Ovis aries: one gene and its partner. The protein of the gene in region 2 interacts with the protein of the main gene of each other region in a pairwise test. Links are inferred from orthologs where the notes say so. Each region holds a gene or a part of one and is shown on either strand. Other genes may lie near its edges.

Evidence for each region.
Region 1: the proteins of RTN4 (region 2) and SNX15 interact in binary tests that used the Homo sapiens proteins (3 or more experiments, as listed by UniProt). The two-hybrid records come from large-scale screens. The link is inferred for Ovis aries from reciprocal best matches to the Homo sapiens genes RTN4 and SNX15.

The regions. Positions count from the first base shown.
Region 1 is NC_056074.1:39,704,320-39,707,253, reverse strand, and holds the end of SNX15 (sorting nexin-15), read right to left. Parts: exon of another isoform or gene 2,817-2,934; intron 2,235-2,816; exon of another isoform or gene 2,016-2,234; intron 1,770-2,015; coding exon 1,512-1,769; intron 1,225-1,511; coding exon 1,130-1,224; 3' UTR 669-1,129; downstream 1-668. UniProt on the Homo sapiens protein: May be involved in several stages of intracellular trafficking. Overexpression of SNX15 disrupts the normal trafficking of proteins from the plasma membrane to recycling endosomes or the TGN.
Region 2 is NC_056056.1:68,964,039-68,968,315, reverse strand, and holds the start of RTN4 (reticulon-4), read right to left. Parts: upstream 3,093-4,277; 5' UTR 2,883-3,092; coding exon 2,318-2,882; intron 1-2,317. UniProt on the Homo sapiens protein: Required to induce the formation and stabilization of endoplasmic reticulum (ER) tubules. They regulate membrane morphogenesis in the ER by promoting tubular ER production.

The DNA of each region.
Region 1 (2,934 bases), on a different chromosome or scaffold from region 2:
GCGCTCAGCATCCAGCGGACAGCGGCGGCCCCTCGCCCCATTCTGCAGGAGAGCACGCCAAGGCTGGCGAAGGCGGGGCCAACCCCTCCCGGCCCGCCTCCCCGCCCGGGTCGGAACCTTCCCCCCGCCCGTCTGGCCGCCGCAGTCCTCACCGAGTCCTGTCGCTTCCCACAGATCTCCGAGCAGGCCTCCCGAGAGCCTCTGCGTTGTAGTTCAGCGTCGCCAACACTGTTCCTCACGTTCGGGTCCCACTAAAGCCCGACCACAGTGCACCGCCATAGTCGGACCACTCCCATGATGCACCGCGTTATAGTTCCCTTCCGTAACCAATCGCTTTGCAGGAGAGGCAGGGCAGGCGTGGAGCCACGCCTCCCCGGGCTCCTGTCCTCTAATCCCGTCACTGTTTAGCTCTGAACCACCCGACCCAAGTGGGGACACCCGCTTTGGTTCCTCTTCACCTGATAACCTGACTCAGTCAGCCTTACTGCCGTTCTTTTCTGTTTCCTTGAGGGCTCTTCTTCCTGTTTTCTAGATCAGGGGTCAGCAAACTTTTTCTACAAAGAGCCAAAATAGTAGATATTCTTGGATTTACAGGTCACAACCAATCACTCAGGCTTGCCGGTGTAGTGAGAAAGCAACGGTCGACAACACTAAATGAAAAAGCCTGGTTGTGTTCCAATAAACTTTTATTTTTTAGATACTTAAGTTTCATTATAATTTTCACCTGTCACAGAATATTATTATTTTGGATTTTTTTCACCTATTAAAAAGTAAAAACTCTTCTAGTTCATGCGCCTTACAAAAAAAGGCAGTGGGGCATATCTGACTGTGGGCGGTAGTTTGCATACCCCGGTTCTAGATGGATAAACAGATGGCTTACGGACCAGAGCTGCAGCCTCCCATAACAAGACAGAGACAGGCAGGATCAGATATGTGAGTCCCTGATTCCAAAGTGGCAGGTGTGGTCAGGGAGCTGAGAAATCATTATTTTTCTCATTCCTGGTCCAGTTACATATAGAAATGGCCAGTTACAGGACCAGGAGATCAGGCACCAGGGAGAGAAGAGGGTGGCCGGCAGTGCTGGAGCCAGAGTCCTGGGAACAGGTCCACTCCCATCTCGGGGTGGGAGTTAGGACAGATGCAGGTGTAGGATTTCCTCTGCCCGCTTCAGGTACTCAGCTGCCTTCTTCTTCACACCCTCTCGGCGGGCAGGTGATGGGTCACCTGGGAAGACAGAATGGCTCAGCGGGTACCTGGATTCAGAACCCCTGGTCTAGCTCCTTACTGTCCACAGAGCATCACCATGTGTCTTTCCCTGTTCCTTGGGAGTCAGATATATGCTCCCCATTTTACAAATAAGAAAACTGAGGCCACGAGAGATAAAGCAGCAGCCCAAGGTCACACAATTGGTCAGTGAAGAGCAATTCTGATCCTTGTTTTTCACTTTTCTTTCCCTTCACTGTACCATCCAGGATCCCAGGCCTGACCCTCCAGCCTCAAGTTTTGCTCACCAGAAACTCCCTGGAGCAGGATGTGCACACCGTCCCGGTAGCCTTGCAAAGCAGCAGGGTAGGCGCCTGCCTTCTCGTCCCGTAGGGCCTGGGTGATGAGTTCTGTGGCTTGGCTCAGATAGGCAGGGGTGGGCTCTCCTCCCTCGTCGTCCTCCTCTGCTTGTCCGCCTGGCTCCCAGGGTTCCTGGTCCGGCCTTCCAGATTCTGCCTCCAATGCTGCCAGCTCCCCTATGTGGGTAGGACTGGGTCCTGCACCTTCTGTAATCAGATATGGAGGACTCAGGTCAGATCAGCCCTCTTTTTCCCTGGGCCTGCTGCCCAACCCCAGACCTCTCTGGCCCACCAACCTGTCCTGGGTTTCTCAGTGCCTGAGCAATCCAAAAGCCACTTGTGCATAGCACACTAGCCGTGATCTATTTGGTTGGTGGAGTTTGTGTGCTTTTGTAAAAAAAGTCTTACTTCCCTAATTCTTTGTTTATAGTGAGATATAGTTGATTTACGACCTTATGTAAGTTTCAGGTGTACAACATAACCTAATTCTTTCTTTGTGTGTGTGCATTTTCAGCTGTGTCTCTTTTGAGACCCCATGGACTGTAGCTTGCCAGGCTCCTCTGTCCATGGGATTTTCCAGGCAAGAATACTGAAGTGGGTTGCCATTTCCTACTCCAGGGGATCTTCCCGACCCAGGGATCAATCCGGGTGTCCCCTGTCTCCTGCACTGAGGTGAGTCATTATTAACATTTTACCACTGAGTCATCATTAACATTAATTTGCAAGCTACAGGTCACTGGTTCTACTTCCCTCCCGACTACAACAAATCCAAGAATTTCCTCCACAAAGTTTAATTGAAGGATGCTAGGCCAAGCATGCCAGGTCAAGGGTAGAAATGCTCCAAGCTTTGGAATCTTAGAATAATGGATCCAGAGAACCTCCAGGCTTTTTCAAGTCTTTCAGTATGAGCTGAGATCTCAAATGGGAAGAAGTGGGTGGAAGGTATTCACACATTCCAGAGAGAAGGGCTCATATATCCTCTAGGACTGGCAAGGAGATGGTCAAAGATTCCCTCTGTAGATTCCACAATAGAAGGCTAGCGATCTGGTGAACCTTGGATGAAAAGGCCTTTAAAGGGAAGGTGCAGGACTAGGAACCACCGCTGCACACCACTGGCCTGGAGAGGGAAGGGTGGGCCTCTCTAGAGCCCCACCAGAGGGACCCCATGTGGAGCCCAGGGGCCTTATAGGAAGGTAAGGTGACATTTCACTGCCCAGTTGGACTACAGCCCTTCCTGTGTTGTTCATGAAGCAGAAGACAGAAGAGATCTTGGGACACCCTAGGACTTGAATTCAAGAGCCTGGTGTATGTGATGAAGAGAGAGAGAGATGAATGCCAGCCCTCACCTGGAGAATTCTGATGGTAAAAGGTT
Region 2 (4,277 bases):
ATAGTCTACCACCCCACTCTCTCCTTAGCTTTCTTACTAGTCTTCTCACGAGCTTCTCAAACATACATTACTGCCGCAGGGCTTTTGCCTCCCAGGAGCTTCTTGGAAATTTTTTATATCTGCAGCTTAAATCTCACCTCCTCAGAAAGGCCTTTCTCAGTGCCACCCTATGTAAAAAGGTTCCCACACATCTCAATAATTTTCCACATCATCCTTCCTATGCTGCTCATAACACTTAACACTAGTCTCAGTTCCTTAATCAGGTGTTTATTATCGGTACTCCTCTCATGGGGAACACATCTGTCTTGCTGACTGCTCTATTTTCCTAGCCTAGAATAGTGCCTCTGTAGGTAAATCAATAACCAGCTGCAGGAAAGAACTGTTAAGAAAGCCAGACTCAGTGACATGGTTTAACTATCTGACCATAATCACAGTGTTCCTTTATGTCCTAAAGGAACTAAAATTTCTAGATAGGCAACATCAATACAGAATTAGGGAGCCATGTAAAGATAGAATCGCTAAGTGACTCAACATTCTCTCCTTTGTCTTCCAAAGTTAGTATTCCTAAAGTCAAAATACAGAAAGAATGCTGTCACCTCCTGACTCTCCAAGGTTCAAAGCACAGAACTCTTTTGTTGCCACACAGGAATACAATATGAAAAATCAGTTTGCTTTTCTTAATCATTAAATTTATCATTTGTAAATGTCTTATTACTTGATATTTTTCCACCTTACTTTAGTTTCTCGAAATGTGTTTTCACTCATAAAAAGGAAAACTTGAGTTACTTCTCACATTCTAATTATCTGTAGTGTAGTAATTAATGTTTTGAGTAATGCTGTGGGGTATGTCGATATCACTATTGACTTATTTTTCTTCCTTGTGGTGCAGGAGTGAGCCGAAGAAAAGAAAATTCTTCCATGATCTCCCACTGAGTATCTTTTTCTAGAAAAACAACCGGCTCTAAAATCCTACAAGGCTATGACAATTTCTCACCAGACTGTTACACTACCTGATTCTTGATCCTTGCCTATTTACACATAAAGGTCCTACTTCTAGTGCGACGCTTTCTGTCCCCAAACTAACAAGCTACTTGTTAATAAGTTAATTAACGTGTCTAATAGGATGAATTCTCAACCTCTAACAAACTTTTTTCTCTTCCAAAATAAACAATCTCCCAAAATGAAAAGGATAATAAAACAATTTTTCCTAATAACAGTAATAACAATCAGGTGCTGGTAAATGAAAAGATTTGAAAACTATTTACGGACAATGCAAATCTGTCTCTGCAGCCCTAAAATATATTACTTCTACGAAACAGTATTTCTAACCAACAGATGAAAACGTCTGTCTGAAAACATTTCATGAAGTCCCATGGTAAATCTGCCAGAAGTTCAACTGTCCTCTTCCCGCCAGGGAATCCACAGGTTTCCCCTTCTTTGGGAATGTCAACCATTTTGCCTTTTCCTTTTATCTCTACGATTCAATTACGATGCATTGAGACTAAACCTGTGCATCCTAACAACTGTTCCCCTCCTTCTGCGGCAGAGCTCCCGGCAGAACTGCGCCCCCTTGGAACACGGTGCCCAGGTCCCATTTCCCCGGCGCCGTTAAGCTGGTGGTAAATAGCCACATCACAACCCGGGTAAACTGGGCGGTGGCAGGACCTCGCCGAAACTCCGCTCCGCAATTCTCCACGCGTCACACCACTGGAGGCGCTGTCCCTTCACTGCAGTCAGGTCAATGTGGACGTTTTCCACTGGACCGGCTCCCCACGAGCGCGGGGCCGGGGCGGGGGAGATGAAGAGCATGGGGCCACCCAAGCCAAGGAAGGGGTGAGGAGAGGGGCCAGGGCTGAATGCAGGCAAAGACCAGCAAGAAACTGCGTCTTTTCCTCAGGAGCAACCTAGTTGGGCAGACAAAAGATTAGGGCGCCAAGGCCTTCCATCCTCATCCCGGAACCAAGGCAGCCCGATGAATCCACACCCCTAGTTCCCTCATTACAGACCCAGTTCCTGCAAGGGGTGGGTTCCTAACTTCCCCGACCCGGTGGAATGGAGAGCAGACAGAACAACCCGGGAGCGGTCGGGGCGCACGTGCTCCCCGATACCCAGACGGACAATAAAGAGTAAGCCGGAGCTTCCTCTGCCGCCCCACCCTGCTCCCCGCGGCTCCCACCAGCGGGGGCGCCTTCGCCCAAAGATCTGCAGACAAAGCCCCCTCCGGATGGACAGAAGGGCAGGGTCCAGGCTTTAGGGGCTGCGCACAAAAGAGGGAGGGGCGCGAGGGGCGGCGCGAGGCGGAGGGCGCGGCACTCACCCACTGAGCCCGAGGAGCCCCTGCGTTTGGGCGCGGCCGGCGTGGAGGGGGGCGCGGCGGGGGCTGGGGCAGCCGGGGTCCACGAGGGCTCGGCCTGAGGGCTCACGTCGGCCGGTGGAGGAGGGGGAGGCCGGGCCGGAGGCCCCTCGTCCTCAGAGAGCTTGGAGTGCGAGTCTGCTGTAATGGAGGGTGGGGACGGCGCGGGCACCGACGACGACACGGGGCTCGGGTCCCAAGACGGCTGCCGCTCCGGAGCGGCGAGAGGCGCGGCCGGCAGTGGCCCCCTGGGCGCCGGGGGCACGAAATCATTGCCGAAGTCCAGCAGGGGCGCGCTAGCCGGGGTGGCGGCGGCTGCGGCCACCGGGGCCGCCGACAGCGCGGCGGCGGGCTTCCTCTCTAGCACCTCCAGCTCCTCCAGGTCCTCGTCCTCGTCCTCGTCTTCCTCCTCCTCCTCTTCCTCTTCGTCCTCGGGCTCCTTTACGAACTGGTACTTGAATGCGGGCTGAGGCCGAGGCGGGCTGTCCGAGGACGAGGAGACCAGAGGCGACTGGTCCATGTCTTCCATGGCTGGCAGGTCAGAGGTGATGCTGCAGCTGCTGCCTCCGCCGGAGAAGCTTCTTCTCAGAGCCGCGGGCGGTTGTGGGGGGCGGGGAGGACTGAGAGGGGCAGGGCCCAACGAGCCGAGGGACCTGCAGTGGCGACAGCTCCCGGAACAATGAGACTGCTCCTCCAGCCTCCGCGCCCGTGATGCGCCACCCGCCCCGTCCCCAGTTGCCGCCGCCGCCGCCCAGATGAGAGAAGGAGAGAGGCCAGCCGACGCTCCGCCCAGTTTGGCGTGACACCCTCCCAGCCAGGGAGAGGGAGGCACTAACGCGGGAGGGAGTGAGCCAATCGGCGAAGAAATAGAGTTGACGGGCAACCAGTCGGCCCAACAGAAAAGGAAAAAGACGAAAGTGGGTGGGTCTCACTGCACTTCCTCTCTCTTACCGGCTCGGGTGGGTTCGATGGGCGGGGTTTGGAGCTGGGAACCCCACCGACTGCCTAGGGTAGTTGCGGGTCCGGCTGGGGTCTTGGTCTTGGCCCTGGCGAAGCTGGAGTCTGTGTGTTTACAGCACTGAGAAAACGAAACGACTCCCTCCCAGCACTGAGGGGTCGGAGACGTTCCTGGCACGCCACCGGAAGGGCGTTATCTTGGAGACTGGGAGTGGAAACTTTCCTCCCAGGAAAGGAAAAAACCCAGAGCGCAGGAAGGTTATGAATAACGGTACTGTGGAGTAGGCCCTAAGGATTGAAGCAAACGTTAAATTGTAAATTTCGAAATGAAAATTTGTTTTCTTTCAAACTTAAATTCCCAAGCCACCTTATCACCTTAAGGGGATCACCATCACCACCTTAAAAGAAAAAATAATATTTTTTACAGGTTTAAAGTCACTCCCAGTCTTAACTGCAGACCCTGGATGAGGTAGGCAAAACAACTAGGCTAGACGATATAGGGACTGACTGGAACAGACCATTTGATGAGTCTGTACTTCTTCAAAGAGGGCTTTGGGATCTGCACGCTGCTGGACTTAACTGGTAGAAGGATGAGTCACCCAAAAGAGGGAGGAGAGAGAGGAAAGTGGAAAGAGAAGGATGCCTTGGAAGGCAAATTTGATTCACATTGTATTTCAGTCACCTTAGGCCCATGAGTCAACATTCTGGATGATTCAGGCTTTCTGGGAGTCAGGATACATACATACTCATTTCTTTGATATATCAAAATGAGTATAATCCCCATTCCACTTTTTCCAGAACTGGAGAGTTTAAAGAAAGTGACTGCAGAACATTTAAGTATCAGCATCCAGAGGTTTAGAGAGTCCTTTTTGTCTTTCTGATGTACTGAATATCTTCCAAAAATATCCCCTTCCTGTCTATTCTAGAGGCCCTGGAGAGAGGAGGATAGCTTGCTTTCAAGTTGCTC